Arabidopsis thaliana: one gene and its partner. The protein of the gene in region 2 interacts with the protein of the main gene of each other region in a pairwise test. Each region holds a gene or a part of one and is shown on either strand. Other genes may lie near its edges.

Region 1 (9,299 bases), on a different chromosome or scaffold from region 2:
AAGAAGATCATAGCAAAGATGAGAAGAGCAAGTCAAAGAAGATATTGGGCTTGTTGTCTTGTAATAAGTAATTGGGCTAATTGCTATGTTAGTCCCATATAAGTAAAGTGTTGTTTAAGTAAGTCAAGTCTAGGTTAGAGTAGTTGTTGTTAGAGTTCCAATACAAGTAGGAGGGTTGTGTAAGAGTGCCTAGAACTAGGAGAAGTAGTACATGTATGTGTTGTGTTGTAAGAAATCATCAATATCATGAATGTAGTCTTTTATTAAAGAGTAAAAACGAGTTCTTGTGTTTGTCTCTAAACAAAAACAAAACAGAGTGAAACAAAGACAGAGATAGAGAGAAAGTGTAGAAACACAACATGTGTTTACTGATATTGAAGCCATTCATCTTCTAGTAACTCTGCAATACTTATACTCTGCATTTCAGAAATACTGTATTACTTTATTTTGCTTAAATTTAGAAATAATTCTAAGAAGAATGGTTCCGTTCTCACATTGTATTTTCAGATAACATTTTTATCGAGGATATTAACAAAACACGCTATCATATAACACTAGTATGGACTCAAATTTGTAGTTGTATCATAAGTCATAACAAAAAAAAAACAGCTTAAACGAAAACTAACGTCAATAGCTTTTACTGTATCCAACAATATCTCACACTAAACCTACAAAATTCTTTTTTTTTTTTTCTCTCCGAAGAATCTTACTCAGAGATTTAAGCCGTGAGTTGGCCAAAACACTAGTGACATATATTCACGTTCAAAAGTTTATCTTGCAAATCTTGGATTTCTTAGTTTCATTATCAGATTAAAACAGAATTTCAATAATGAGGAAAAAGCATACCTACTACTAGTCTACTACTTTCTGCAACAACAAAACAAAAAAACTAAAACCAAGAAAAGCCCCAAAAGATTACCACAAATTAAGGAAACTTAAAGCCCATTGATTTCAACATCTCAACAGAGCTCTGACTTTGATTAACCTTGTTGTCTTGTTGAACCTTGTCACCGGAGTTTCCAAGGAGAGCTTCAATTATTTCTTTAAAAGGAATAATCTCTTCTTTCTCTTTCTCTTTCTCTTTCTTGTTCTTGTTCTTTCTTCCGTCTACTTTCCATTTGCCACCACCCCATTCATACGACGGATCCATCCACGGCGGCAACACCCTCCTCGCAGCCACTTCTCCGGATGCCGACGCTGTTTCCTTGTCTGAAACCCTAGATTCGATCTCTTTCGGTTGATTCGATCTCGCGTAATCAGATTCTGGTGAAGTGGGAACAGAAACCATTACGATTCTTTCTTCCGGAGGAGGTGAATCCCAATCACCCAAAATCTCTACACTCTCTGAATCTGAACGTTTCTCCATTCTTAAAAACTTTGGAATGCGAAATTTGCGACTTTATGGGCTTTACGGGCTGTTTGATTTGAAAGATTAGACAACTCACACAACTTATTGGGCAATTAACGTTGGTCTGCTCAACACCAACTCCTCACTAGAAACCACTCCGTCATCAATGTGTGACTGTACATCAAAATAAAACTTTTTTTTTTTGGTTGCAAACGTAGATCTATGTAGCTAAGATAACCTCTCTTTAATAATTCTATCATTGTGTTTTCCAAATTGTTATATATGTTGTGTCATTGTAACGCGTTGCCATAAAGCGACAACATCGTTGCAACTTTCAACTATACTCAAATAGCCAGCTTGCAGAGTATTTTTTGCCTAATTGAATTGTTTGAACTTTGATTTATAGGTTTCAAACCGAGTTTGAGGATGATCACATATGTGGCTATTGACTAACCTATGGTGATCTACCTCTATAGACCACTTCTAGTTCTAGTTTGGCTCTTTTGTCAGCAATACTTGTATATTGCCAACTCCAGAATGTTTACTATTCATTATACATGTTCAACATTGATTAAAAACTTTGAATTGAACAACTTGTTATTTCTTATTGCTTTTGTTCTTCAGCGGCTGCATCAGTATTCCAGACTACATCCTTTAATCCAGATGAGAAGTTTTTGTAGAACTGCAAAAGAGATTCAAACATAAAACCAATTTAAACACTAAACTAGAGATGTTAACCGGATCAAAACCGAACCGGTTTTTGATGAAGATCAAACCGAATCACATACCTTGTGAAACTCGAGGGTATCACCACCGGTTTTCCTAAGCTCTACCACATGCAATGATGGCGCCACTTCAAACACCTATTAAACCGATTACCAAACCATAACAATTAGATAACGATATTCATCAAAATCCAAAAACCGAACTGAACCGGAGTATTTTTTTCTTTCTTACCTCTGTAGCTACGGAGAGCTGACCTTTACGACCACTTTTGTCTCCTTTCATTTTTATCTGCGAAGTTTACTTAAACAATGTTTAACGAAGCTACAAAGACATTAGTTGACACAAACAAAATCAAGAAGAAGAAGAAGAAGAAGAACAGACCTTGTAGTTGTCTTTACGGACATTAAAGCCTAATGGCTTTGCGGTTTCTTCCATTTTCGACATTATTTCACTCGCAGATCGTTGAGAAGTAAACCGCGTTTCTTTCTTCACAAGTTGCTGCAAACAACAACAAATCAGATTTAGTTAGATAAAACCTATGCATGATTTTAGAAAATCAAGACAAACTGTAAGTAGAAAAAAGTTCTTACCGCTTGCTTCTCGAACAAGTTTTCAAGACTGAACTCGCTTGAGCTAGAGATAAGTTCGAAAGCGTTCATGGATACAGGTTTCTCCTTCTTCTCAGTTACAAGACATTCCTAGAGTAGCAGCACAAAAAGAGTGATATTAGTTGGTAACAATACATTGGTTTACTTAAACCGAACTATGATATACACAACCAGATGGAGAATTTGGAAATGGCGGTGTTTACCTTGGAGTTACTAAAAGCAGCATCAACATCATCTATGGTTATGTCCTCGTCATCTTGGTCAAATGATGGCGGCTTGTACCCTTTCTTGAACCATTCATCTTCGAGCAACTCTGCAATACTTATTCTCTGCATTTCAGAAATAAGTACATACTTAAGCTCTTGCACAATCTATGGTTGGCAGCATGTCATGTTCACATTTTCACAACTATTACTTCATGTAAGAGGCACTTACGGTAATAGGGTTGGGTTCGAGAATACGCTTGATGACTCTCTTGGCACCTTGCGAGAACCATGGTGGGCAGCTAAACTCAGCCTTGCATATCTAAAGTATATATTAAACACCAAAGATGAGACTAGAAAAGTACTGCAGAAGATCAAGAAGCAGAGGGAGAGATAATTTACACGTACACGTTTGTATAATGTCATGAGATTCGGCTCATCAAAAGGCAAGTAACCAGCCATAAGCACAAAGAGAATGACACCACAAGACCAGACATCTGCTGCTGCACCGTCATAGCCTTTGTCCGACAAAACCTGCCAGCAAATCCAACACAATGCAGTAGACAACATTAAAGGCATATCTCTTATATACATCATAAATAAAGAAGATTCTGCAAATGAAGTCTATATATACGTATAGCATTTGTTAGATTTCCTTCCTTTTTAAAAACGTATTAGCAGTTCTTGAATTCCTTAAAATCTTATTTTCCAAAGAGGATCTACAGAACATTTCATATTCTTTGCCTTTTTAAGTGCTGAAAGTTAGTACATAATACCTCAGGGGCAACGTAGTTTGGCGTTCCACAAGCTGTATGAAGCAAACCATCTTCCTGCATTCAAAAGAACAATGCTTAGAACACTTCATTCAAATTGATATCTTGGTTATATATATCAGAAATTAATTGCCAAGTGAAAAATATAATGGCATTACCCGAACTTGTCGTGAGAAGGCGCTTAACCCAAAATCAGAGACTTTCAAAACCCCATTTGCGTCAAGGATCAGATTTTCAGGCTGCAACAAGGAACAGATGATAACAAAAGAAACTTGAATAAGAACTAAGAAGAATGAATATCGTAATCACAGGAAACAAGAAGAGTGCACAAAAACAAAAGAAAGACCTTGAGATCTCTGTGGTAGACACCTCGACTGTGGCAGTAATCCACAGCATTGATGAGCTGCTGAAAATATCTCCGAGCTTCATCCTCCTTAAGCCTCCCTTGTTGCGCCTATGTATATGATTTAAATCCAAGAATTAACATAAGAGTAAGAAGAGAGAAAGACAGAGAACATATGTCAATATTTGTGAAGAGAAAAGAGAGGAAGATTCTCTAAGTTAGGTTACTTACGATTTTATCAAAGAGTTCACCTCCATTGACAAGCTCAAGAACGATATAGATCTTCGTTTTGCTCGCCATAACCTACCACAGAGAGATGTTTTACACGCTAAGATTCAAAACTTAATTTAAAAAATATCTAAGGAATGATAACTAATTAGTTTCGTACCTCAATGATTTCAACCACATTTGGATGTTTAATCAGTTTCATTGTAGATATTTCTCTTTTAAGCTGCACAACAACAAAAAAATAAAACTTTATGATCATTATATCTTCGAGATCTTGCTCATAACTTCCAATCATACATATATAGCATACAAAACTAAATCTTCAACAGATTCAAATCGAACCAAATCAAAAACAAAGCTACTCGAACTTCAAAACCATATCCATATCATAGTTAATAGTTATCTTGATCAATGCGTACTAAGATCAGCATCGTGTAGATATATACAGAAACAAAAACATTCATACAAAATTCGATATTTTAAAATATTATTGTTAACACTTTAATCAAACATTAACCTTAATAACCGAACACCAACCTAGGAGGACATGTGGGTCCCTAATCACGAAATTAAACTGTTCTTTATAGTACTTAAAAACAAACAAATCCATAATCATTTTACGTGATCAAACCAAACACAATTAACGAACCTGTTCGACCATTTTGTGACGGAAGACCTTTTCTCGGTCGAGGATTTTGATAGCGGCTTGATCTCCGGTGACGGTGTTCTTGGCGTATTTCACCTTAGCGAAGCTTCCTTCTCCGAGAGTTCGTCCCATCTCGTAATTCCCTACTCGCGTCCTACTCGCCGGCGTCGCCTTCCTTCTGCTTCCACTCATTTTCTTTTTCCGATTAAGAAAATCAACGGCTCTAGATCGGCGGCGAATCTATCAATGTGATTCTTCTCCCTCAATATCTCTCCTTCTTCTAGTGGCTGCCTGGTTTTAAGGCTGACGAGAGAAAGTGGACGAGCGAGAGATTTAATAGGCGCGACTGGGAGTCACGCGCGTATTGTGGGTCCCGTATGCCACGTAATGTCAAAAATCATTATTTTGCTCTGTTCCGCGTCAGTCCCGTGTTATTTGTACTTGTGTACGTTCGTAACGTTCATTCTTCATTCATATAAAAAAATTCCATAATTTTGTTCTTGTGTGGTAACTATATACAGAAACTCCTGTTTAAGTATATGGATTTTATGAAAATTTTGGGGTTTTAAATTTATGTGGATATGGTTTTATTTGTAAGGGATGTGATTTGATGTCCTTAATCTTTATGTGTATATGAGTATATCTTTCAGTGATTCATTCCATTCTACTGATGTTCAAAGTTGACTGTTATCATATTATTTGATATAGTTGTATTCTTTTCATGTAGAAATATTCTCTAAATATAACTTTTTTTTTTGTCTTTAGTTAGAAGTTGGAAACTACCTAAGAACAATAAATACATATATCAAATGTTGGTAGTTAAATGATGATTGTTATATCTTGGTCAAATTTTGTTTAAATCTATGATAATATTCGCATATACTTACTTTTGTTTAAATTTGATGTAGCTGTTTATTTTTGTTTGTAACGGTTCTAAATTTGATTATTTAAAGTATATGATAATAAATAAATAGATAATTGAAATAGTTGATCTTTCCATGTGACGATGTGAGTAAAGGGAACGGTATGAATATGAACCCCACATATCCTTCCTGATAAACTCAGAGATTTCACAGAATGTGATAATGTTTTTATTTTTCTTCTTTCCTTTATTTGTTTCTCTTATTTTCTTTCATATGATAATGCCAAAATACGCAGAAAAATTAAAAAAGTGTGGCAGACAGTGTGAGTTGATGATTTATTGCATGACTAGTAATAATGATACAATAATTTTTTAGATATGTTAGTATATTACGAACAAAAGAAAATGCAAATAATGCACAATGAACCACTCGTTCCAATAATTGAGTCCGGTACAAAAACATCACGTCACCATCATATGAAAGCAATTCATTTGGTTATCAATTTGAACTTCTTCATTCCACATTTTTTTTATTTTCCTGGTTATGAGTTGGAACTTATTGGATTATATGGATTAAAATTTAAAACCTATATAAACCAAACTATTATTTGGTTTGATTTTGTATTTACTTTCGGTTTAGCTTGGTTTGTAGATAGTTCGAGTAGACCGAACATCCGAGTCCTACATATATAAGAAAGATTGGCCCATTAACCAAATTTAGGCTTGATTGTGAATTAACATTAGGGCCCAACTAAAATACTTTTTTTTTTTTTTGCCATCCAATAACATTATTATCGCATATGTTCCGCATCATCGTTTACACAAATGATCAAATTGACCAAGTTAAGTTTCTTTTCTCTTTTTCTACATAATATTTGTTATTTAAAGCATTTGTATAAAATTATATACTGATAAGTGATGGTATATTCAATAATTTGTGTTTGTCTTTTTGTGATACAATTAATTATCCTTTATGGTTCCATTTTTTTTTCGTTGACAACGTTGAACAAAGATGGTCAAGGGGCCTAACTGTTTCTCACACAGTTTCCTTTCAGGGTTTAGTATTTGCCGTTTTAGTAACGAAGTTAGAGATTCATACGTATAATTATAAATAGTAGAGTCGGGTCAGATTGTGTTTCTTATCTAATTGTTATATATATAAAATTTGATAAAGCATATAATGTCTTGAAAGATTCAATCGTGAAATATGTGTACAAATATGTAAAATCTAGTTGCACCGCACGGCACCTTTTTTTCCTTCCTCTCCCACGTTTATTCTCGCCTCGTAACAGAAATTATAACTTGGAGTACTATTATAAAATACCTCAATAATTTTAGTTCTAAAAACATGTATATCTAAATCTAAACCATTGTGTATTTTGGAGTTGTAGGAGTTTTTTTTGTAGTAATTTAGTAATACATAACATAAAATGTGTCTTATGTTTAGATTTGCCTTTCATACATTGACCAACCTAAATCGGAGTCGGACCAGCTGGAAACTGGTCTAAATGTTTAATCGAGTTTTAGGTACCCTATCTAAAACCCAAACACAAACTCAGTTTTGCTCATAAATAATCTCTAAAAACCAAACACATTTCGTTAGAAAAACGACTAAAAACCGAGTTTAATTGAAATATACTTTCTAAACCGACCTACACGAACCGGAACCCGACTGCATATATACTTACTTACTCATACACTCTAACAATATAGAATCTATTATTGTCATCCATCTTTTCTTTCACTTCACCTAACTCCCAGTAAATTAATTAATAAAAAGGCGAATCATAACTTGTTTAGATCCTCTTGCAAATGAACCACGAAAGCAGCATGAACACGAATATGAAGAAGAGGACAAGGAAGGAGAAGAAGAGTACGTCGTCAATGGTGTTCTTGTATTCGATGATTGTGAATATATGTGGAGGATTGTTTCTAAGTTATTGGCTTTACAAATACCATCCCACAAATTCTAATCTTTGGATGGTTCCTGTTGGACTCATCTTCTTCATCACTCCTGCGTTTCTTTCCCTCTCCATTTTGATCTCCGATCTCTGCGACGACGATGATGATGTCAATCTCGACCTCAACCAAATCAAGATAATTCTATAAAAGTTTTGACTACTTCAAGTGTTGTCGTTTATTTGGTATTAATTATTATTAACCTCCGTACAAATGGAAGACTTGTGGTTTTATTGTTAAGTTTGTAGATTTTTTCACCTTTGTTTCCGAAACATTTGGTACTTGTGCGACAAGTTATCTCCCCATAGTCTTAAAAGATTAACCTATTTTTAAGTTCTTCAAAATTATATCCATAATTCCCATATGATTCTCTTTTTCTCAATCCTCTGTTTTGTTTAAAGAAGGGTACAAAACAAAAGACTAACAGAGTGGGACGGCTACTACAAAAGACACGTTATCTTCTCTTAATATCAACATAAGGGATACAAAGCGAACATCATCTATAAGGACTACTGTTACCAAAAGATCTACACGGAGGAATCCGAAACTGCGATTACAAGGAAGGACTAACATCAAAGTCGTCACACTACTATACTGCCAATTCAAAAGGTCACTAGGATTTGTCTTAATGTTTTTGATATCAAATGCGTCATTTAATACTTCTAAGGATTTTATGGTGAAAGGAATCACATACGCACCATATTTCTCCATTTGTCCTTAAGATCGGAGGAATTACGAGTTGTGTGGAATATACCTTTTCCCATCTCCAAAATCTTCTTCCAAGGCATGTTTTTGTTGATTGTATCAGAAAATTTCTCCACTCCCTCCTATCCAAAATAAACATATACTATAAGTTTAAGCTAAAAGTGTATTTCAAGAAAAAAGTGTGGTGGTTTTACCCTCAACATCTTCTCTTCGTTGACTGTCCATAGTACCCTTTTTGGCTGATCATTAACAACAGCATAAGCTTCTCCGCAAGATTTCTCCATATCAATGAATTGATCTGTTGACTCGTCTAACTGGGAATTTCGAGCCTTAAGGTGCTTGACCAGTTCTTGTAATTGATGAAGGTTCTCATGTAGTTGCATTGGTAGTGAATTATCAGAACCATTCTCTAGTTGACTGTTTTCTCTCGTCATGACTATATCTCCACTCCTCAGCTCACTACATCCATATTGAACAAGGGTCTTCGCAGCTGCAACACCCCTTGTTCTCAAAGCCGTGGATCTAGTAGCTTGCTCCTTAAACCAACAATAGGGACAGTAAAAGGTTGCAGGATCTTCACAATCAAGCTCAACACACTTCCTGTGAACAGCGAGAGGGCATTCATTCCCAGAACAAGGTACTACACCATCGTCTGCAATATCGCATACAATACATGCGTGTTCGTTCAACGGCTCAAAGCTTCTGAAAGTGTCACTTGTCCCAAGGTAGTGGCGCTTCTTAAGAGGCACATTATCATAAGTGAAAATGTTTGGAGCAGAGTTGACGTCCTCATCACCACCATCATCACACTGAACAATACAATGAGCAATGCGCTTTTCTCTCACAAAGCCAATTTCTTCAACAATTTCACCTATCTAAGATAGAGAAGAAGATAAAT
Region 2 (7,422 bases):
AATGGAATTGACACAGACCGAACGGAATAATTTCCTTTCTCGTGAAAGAATATAATTTTAAGAATTGAGTTACAATACATTCTCCCTCAAAATTCGTAATGAAAAGTTGTACTTTCTTAAAGGAAAAAACTATTGTTTTATAATACTTTGATGGACGTACCACTTAATAATGTATTACATTCACTACATCACAAAGTAATACTTGTATGATACATCAAGGGACAGAGCATATTGATTATCATGAAAAACTACTATAGTTGAAAATCATAAAAAAACAAAAGCACATTGAGATACATATCATATAATGGGGGAAAAAACACTCATACGCCTAAAAATTTCCAATGCATACCACTTCATGTTCGTAGATTTATTCAGAAAACGTGTAGGGTATCAGGATAATGAGAGAAACATTAATCAAATCTCACGTGAAGGGATGCAGAGTTAGTAAATGAGATATACAAGTACGATTGCGGACCACACATACACTTATACATGTTACTCGGTCAATGTCATTAATATTTAATTTGAATAAGAAAATACCAACTACATAAATGATTAGTGGTAATAGTATATACAATTATGGGAAGGAAGAATTTGGTAGTAGATACGATGGACCAATAAGGGAAAATCTCATACCGTATCTCCATTAATGACACCTTCTTGTTTAATCTATAAAATTTGGCTTCGATAATTAAACAGAATCTTAAGAACTCTTTTCGATATCTCTTACCTTATCTAACTATAACTTGAAAGAAGAGAATGAGGAAGCTCACGACAAGGTTCATGTTGGCATTGGAACATGTGCAGGCGACGTTTTTTGTGCGGTACACGGCTGATGTACGGTTTAACGTATTCCTTTGTATATGAGTATCATGTTGACAACAAATAAAACGACAAAGGAAATGAACTTTACTTCAACATAAATCTTTTAGACATGTTAAACTAGCTTATATCAAACAATGAATAGTAACGATAGGCTCTCAAAACTCTAATCGATCTATCCTGTCGTTTTCGATTTACGTAAGAATCTTATTAGTATCTTTTTGAATATCCAAAATAACTGATTTTTGTATATAAAAAGTAGTAATAATATTGGCATACAGGCTGGCTTCTTTAGTCAGAAAAGTCTCTGAAGAATCCAACAAAAAACCTAAACCACTTTTAACGTCATCCTTATCTTCGTTTTATTTTTCTTTTAATCAGAAAATCAAAAACAAAAACAGAAGAAACTGGAATCACTCAATAAGTATGGATACTTTACTTATACGTTTCTAATATGTATAGATACGTCAATTCAATACGCAAAATACAATTTCGAAAAAAGCGACGTTTGTGTTTCAGTGCTTTTAAATTGAAAACAAAATGTGTTTTCACACAACAAAATAAAAAATAAAAATATTCTTAAATTTGTTGTGAAACCAATACAAAATACAACGTTCAAAAAAGAAAAACTAAAACGACACACGACATATATGATTTTATAATTAAAGTCGAAGGAAAACGTAATTTTTTCTAAATCTAATGAAAATACCAACAAAAGTTTTTAAACTTAAATCGAAAGAGACCGAACCCAACAACTAAAATCATAAGCAACTAAACACAAACCCTTTAAAAAACATTAGTCTTCAGAATCAATAAATCCTTTATTTTGAAATAACTACGGATAAAATTTATTAAGTATATGCGATCAAACCAAAGATAACATTAATTACTTTCTATCGATATAAGAAACAGTCCCGTCTCAAGCTATAATTGAGCCTTTGCCAAAATAAAAATAAAAACTAAAATCTCTTAATAAAATTTTGTTTTAAGAAAATTGGGCCTTTTATGCTTATGATTGTTTTTAAAATCAGTAATAGATCCATGGCATTTGCCTAATTTGCCATGGGGTAAAGACGGTCTTGATAAGAGTCAATCTTTCACAACCTAAACTAAAGATTTTATAATCCGACAAATAAAACGACCGAAAAAACTTAAATACGTTTTTAGATACGACAACGATAATTAATGTGCATCTAATTACGTTTAAATAGAAATCTTCAAAAATTCGACCATACCAACACTGATATGCAAAGGAAAAACAAAGAATGTAACCTTCAAAATGCAAAAAGAAAAGATAATTAAAAAAGGAAATAACTTAAAAACGAAATGATTTAAATTAAATAAAAAAACGATCCACCTGTGAAACGCTCTCAAGTACCACAAAATGTACTCTCTCTATCACACACAGTTACATATTTCGTTGACAGCTGTCCCCACTAACAGCTGTTTCCCAAATCCCCAACCGTTTTCTTGGAAAGATTCTCTCTTTATTTTAGCCTCACTCTCTCAGACGCATTTCCCCCAATCGCACCGCCACTCCCTGACGTGCTTTTTTCTTTCTCTTTTAAATATTCAAATACGTATCAGACTACTCACGTTACATCTTCTTCATAACTAATCCAATTTAGAAATTACGCAAAATTACTTAAATATGTAGTTTTTCTAAATAGTTTTACATAACTACAATATATAAGAATTTTTAATTTGAATTTATTTTTTGAAAAAGGTTTGCATTTATAATTTGATGTAATATGATTTGATTTTAGTTTAATATCTTTGTTTAGTTATAGTTAGAAATACAGTACATGTTTAGTTATAATTTAACATTCATTAAAAAAACATTACATAATAATTTGTTTAATAGTATATATTTTAATAAATTTTAGTTTAGAGTTTATTTTGTTTGGTTCAAACTAAATTTCAGTTTTCTGGATTTTAAAATAATAAAACAAAACGGCATATACTTACATATTTAATTTGGTGTCAGTTAACTTATTTCAATTTGATTCAGTTGAAAACATAATTATGCACGTAAATAATCCAATTTACAGTTACGAAAAAATTAAGTTGTTGTTAACTAACGATAAAAAATTACCGGTAGAACCGGTGACCTCTCTAACCATCACACCTCGTATAAATACTCTCTCCTCTTCATACTTATCCTCTCAACAAAAATCGTTTCGTTCTTTTCCAAAATCCCCAAACAATAGAAACGCGTTTTAAACGATTTGATTAGTTTTAAATTAAAAAGAAGATCCGAGCGATGTCTGGTTCGACCCGGAAAGAAATGGATCGGATCAAAGGACCATGGAGTCCTGAAGAAGACGATCTGTTACAATCGTTGGTTCAGAAGCACGGACCAAGGAACTGGTCTCTGATAAGCAAATCAATCCCTGGACGTTCCGGTAAATCTTGCCGTCTCCGTTGGTGTAATCAGCTTTCTCCGGAGGTAGAGCACCGTGGATTCACGGCGGAGGAAGATGATACGATTATACTAGCGCACGCTCGGTTTGGTAACAAGTGGGCGACGATTGCACGGCTTCTCAATGGTCGCACTGATAACGCGATTAAGAATCACTGGAACTCAACGCTGAAGCGGAAATGTAGCGGCGGAGGCGGCGGAGGAGAGGAAGGGCAGAGTTGTGATTTCGGTGGTAATGGAGGGTATGATGGTAATTTAACTGATGAAAAACCGTTAAAACGGAGGGCGAGTGGTGGAGGAGGAGTTGTTGTGGTGACGGCGTTAAGTCCAACGGGATCTGACGTCAGCGAGCAATCGCAATCTAGTGGATCTGTTTTACCGGTTTCTTCTTCTTGTCATGTTTTTAAACCGACGGCGAGAGCTGGTGGAGTGGTGATTGAGTCATCATCGCCGGAGGAGGAGGAGAAAGATCCGATGACTTGTTTGAGGTTGTCTTTGCCTTGGGTCAATGAGTCAACAACTCCACCGGAGTTGTTTCCGGTGAAGAGAGAAGAAGAAGAAGAGAAGGAAAGAGAGATTTCTGGACTTGGTGGAGATTTTATGACGGTGGTGCAGGAGATGATTAAGACGGAGGTTAGGAGTTACATGGCGGATTTACAGCTAGGAAACGGCGGAGGAGCTGGAGGAGGAGCAAGTTCGTGTATGGTGCAAGGAACTAATGGTCGTAATGTAGGGTTTAGAGAGTTTATTGGATTAGGTAGGATCGAGTAGTGAGTGAGAAAAGAGAAGAATTGTGTAGCAAATGCAGAGAAAGAGCCAATTTCATGATTTGAGATTTGATTCATTCGAAAAAAAAACTGAATAAATGTATTGATTTTGATCATGACATGTCTTAGATTTAATGAAATTGGTCTATAAAAGGGTTGATGAGGCTGGTCCTCGAGGTGAATCAATGTTACCTTTTGATAAAGTGAAAGAAGAGCATGAACAAAGTCATTTCCATACAAAGAGGAGTTTACAGCATTCTTGATCTCTCTAGACTGGTCTTGCGATTCGAAGAGTGAAGTAATGAATTCTACTGAACCAAGTGACGATTTCCGTAGTTTGTTACCTTCGGTTACCGACTATAGCATCGCAGTAAAGGTTATAGTGTGAGAGACAACATCATATATAGATATTCAATGAATGATACAGAGTGTAGAACAGATCACCTCAATACAACTAACTGTAGCAGTAAGGCCTCTACCGGGGAAATACTCAAAGCACAAGGGAGGTCCTTCCCAATACTGTGGCTCTGCAAAAAAGAAAGAGTTTGATTGTGTTAATAACTATCAAGCGGTGTAAGATTACTGATGTTTGACAAGCAAATACCTTCCAATAGGATGTATGGTACCTTTCTCCATAGCAGCTGCTACAACTAATGCTTCCTTTTCACAATTTGGCATACAATACAACAAGGAGTCACACTTGCATCAATTCCTGCTTGATGATGTCCATAAATGGGTTCAATTGCTTTGCACGTAAGGCTCCTAATGTTTACCTATATAATGGAGAAGAAATATGCACTAGATATGTGTATAACTTGTTGTCCAAGCCAAATTTCCACAGCTCCATCCGGAACAACATCCTTCAGAAACTATCTAAAGAATTGGTTAACTTCAATTTCCACGGAAATCGCGATTTCTTGGTTAAAGTTGAAGTGGATGTAGCTGTTAAAGAGGTAAGCTTAGGTGATTATCACTCAGAAGAAGGTTAAAGTTAAGTCGCTTCTTTTTGCTTTGTGGATTTGGAGCTTAACTATGTTGTTATTGAAACTCATTAAAAACATGAATATCCAGTTATTCATTCACATAATCAGAATAATAAATTAATTACAATATATATTACATTGTACATTATTATCAAATGAATTTCAATAAGTTAACAAAAGAATATTCCTACAGAGAACAAATGAGGTTCTTCCAATTCTTGATTTTCCCAAGTTCTAAGCATAAAAAGAAAAATCTGAATAATTAATCTGAAAAAAAACTAAACAAAGCAATCAATTTCCGGAGCTAGACCAAAGCAGCCACATTAACTGGTTCGGTCGGGAACTTAGTGACCGGGTCCACTCGTGCTGGGACCTGAATGCTTACCATATTCAAGCGTCTCAGTCCGGTCCACGAACCGATGACCCTCACCACCAGAGCTAGGACCCGACTCCTTAATCGCCCCAAGTGACAAACCATCGAAGAACTTAGCCACGAGGTTCTCTTCAGCCTTCGTTAAACCCAAAGGACGAGCCTCCACCACAAAATTCGAACTCACCAACATGAAAAACAGAAACGAACCCAAAACAACTTTGTTCATCATCATTTTCTTTGAGTGGTATTTTTGAGTAGTAAAAACAAAAATGTTTTTTATTTTATTTTTCTTGTGTTCCCTAATTTATGAGATGACTAAATTTGTTGTGAGTAGTTTGTGGACTTGGGAGTTAGAATATATAGTAAAGTGAAGAGCCTTGAAGAAGAAGAAAAGTTTGACATTTTCAGTTTTTGACTTCATAAGCTTAAAATTCAACAAGACGTGAGATTTGAATTTTAGGCTCCTTCCTGGGAAAATACTGAGGTTGCTTCTTGTTCTTGGTCTTCCAATTTCTTTTTAAAAATATAATTTGCGAACATATAAAGCCATCAACGAGGAATGGAGATTAGTTATTTGGCTGAAGAAATTAAATGATTTTAATTTTGTCTCTGATTGTTTGGAATAGACTTTTAGTTGTAGACCATAAACTATGTGTGGAATTCAAATCTAGTATGGTATTTTATGTTTATCTATATAATATTGTGACAAAACCTAATGTCCTCACCTTCCTTCAAGTATACTATAATCACTGTAGATGACATTAACTCAAAAATGTTTTATGATAAGAGTTTTCTAAGGATTGATTACCACAAACATATATTTGATGATCTAAATAGTTACATAATTTTTCATAACCATTTTCACTACTTCGACCGTTAATTTGAAAGAATACTAAATTCACTACTTCTACCAAATTAACGGTCGAAGTAGTTTTTAGTTGAAAATTAAAATTGTTGGGTGGGCATCAAACTTGATTGATGTTACAAAATTTCAGGCCCCACCAATCTATCTATGTACTTTTCTTGTTTCTCACGTTGTTGTTATTTCCATTCAAAGTAGCCTTCTTTGAAATGTTCATGAGCGAAGTATCAGATTGTTGATATTTCAACCTTTGTGTGTGTATTTTTTTTCTCAAAACCATCCTTAAAAATCGTTTAGTGGAACTTAATGTATGACGACGAATATGTGTATGGAGGACTTTTCTTTTTAAGTACATTGTAAAATTTTCTTTATATTTTCACATTCATTGGTTTTGGTTATAAAAGAAAATAAACCTGTAGATTAGAAATTACCGAAAATGAGATCTGAGTTGGATGGTACATAAAAAAACACGAGACTCACCTATTCCCTATGTTCCTTTTTGTTTGATTTTTTAAGAAAAATATTTCAAAAAGATCGATGTTTTAAATTTTCTATGTAATATTTATTAATTATTATCAATGAATTGTAAACTTTAATAAAAATGATTGAATATCATTGATTTAAAATTATAGGAAACTGTAAAATACAAAAAATAATACATTTAAAATCAACATTAATATGTTTTCTTAATATGTGCATTTTTCTAAACAATCAAATAAAAAGGAACAAATGGAATATATGTTTGGGCTATTTATACATTCTAGCAAATTAACATTCGGTTTGGTACATGCCACTTAAACACTTTTCTTTTTATTCCTTATTTATTTTGGATATCTTATCGTTGACCAAACTTTATTTCAAATTTAATTCTATGTTTCATACTTTTTTACTATAAAAATGATTTTATAAATAAAGAAACAATACTAAACAGATGTGAAAATCTTGTGAAATTTTTGACACATACAAAAGTTGATCATTGTAACGGTCAAGTGTCACACTAATAAACAATTTTTAGTTAATAATAAGATAAAAATTGTAACTGACCCGATGACCAATAGATGAACATACTTGGTGAAAAGGTGGATACTAAAGAATCTACTTGCTAACAGTTGACTGGGTTAGCCATTACTATAGACAGATTTTCTTACCATAATCTAATTTTATGTCTTCATTAAGCAAAATCTCTCATCAAA

Evidence for each region.
Region 1: the proteins of MYB70 (region 2) and CIPK9 interact in a two-hybrid assay, tested with the Arabidopsis thaliana proteins (2 studies listed by BioGRID).

What each region holds. Positions count from the first base shown.
Region 1 is NC_003070.9:62,446-71,744, forward strand, and holds CIPK9 (CBL-interacting protein kinase 9), read right to left. Parts: upstream 5,181-9,299; 5' UTR 5,068-5,180; coding exon 4,879-5,067; intron 4,453-4,878; coding exon 4,390-4,452; intron 4,305-4,389; coding exon 4,233-4,304; intron 4,113-4,232; coding exon 4,005-4,112; intron 3,898-4,004; coding exon 3,817-3,897; intron 3,716-3,816; coding exon 3,662-3,715; intron 3,420-3,661; coding exon 3,294-3,419; coding exon of another isoform or gene 3,288-3,293; intron 3,208-3,287; coding exon 3,118-3,207; intron 3,012-3,117; coding exon 2,886-3,011; intron 2,773-2,885; coding exon 2,665-2,772; intron 2,573-2,664; coding exon 2,456-2,572; intron 2,363-2,455; coding exon 2,306-2,362; intron 2,212-2,305; coding exon 2,125-2,211; intron 2,031-2,124; coding exon 1,953-2,030; 3' UTR 1,722-1,952; downstream 1-1,721. Other genes in the region: AT1G01130 (CBL-interacting Serine/Threonine-kinase), read right to left, coding at 1,112-1,366; AT1G01150 (Homeodomain-like protein with RING/FYVE/PHD-type zinc finger domain-containing protein), read right to left, coding at 7,670-7,840, 8,395-8,523, 8,596-9,276. UniProt on the Arabidopsis thaliana protein: CIPK serine-threonine protein kinases interact with CBL proteins. Binding of a CBL protein to the regulatory NAF domain of CIPK protein lead to the activation of the kinase in a calcium-dependent manner. Involved in K(+) homeostasis under low-K(+) stress.
Region 2 is NC_003071.7:9,901,488-9,908,909, reverse strand, and holds MYB70 (myb domain protein 70), read left to right. Parts: upstream 1-2,877; 5' UTR 2,878-3,085; coding exon 3,086-4,015; 3' UTR 4,016-4,404; downstream 4,405-7,422. Other genes in the region: AT2G23270 (uncharacterized protein), read right to left, coding at 5,339-5,599.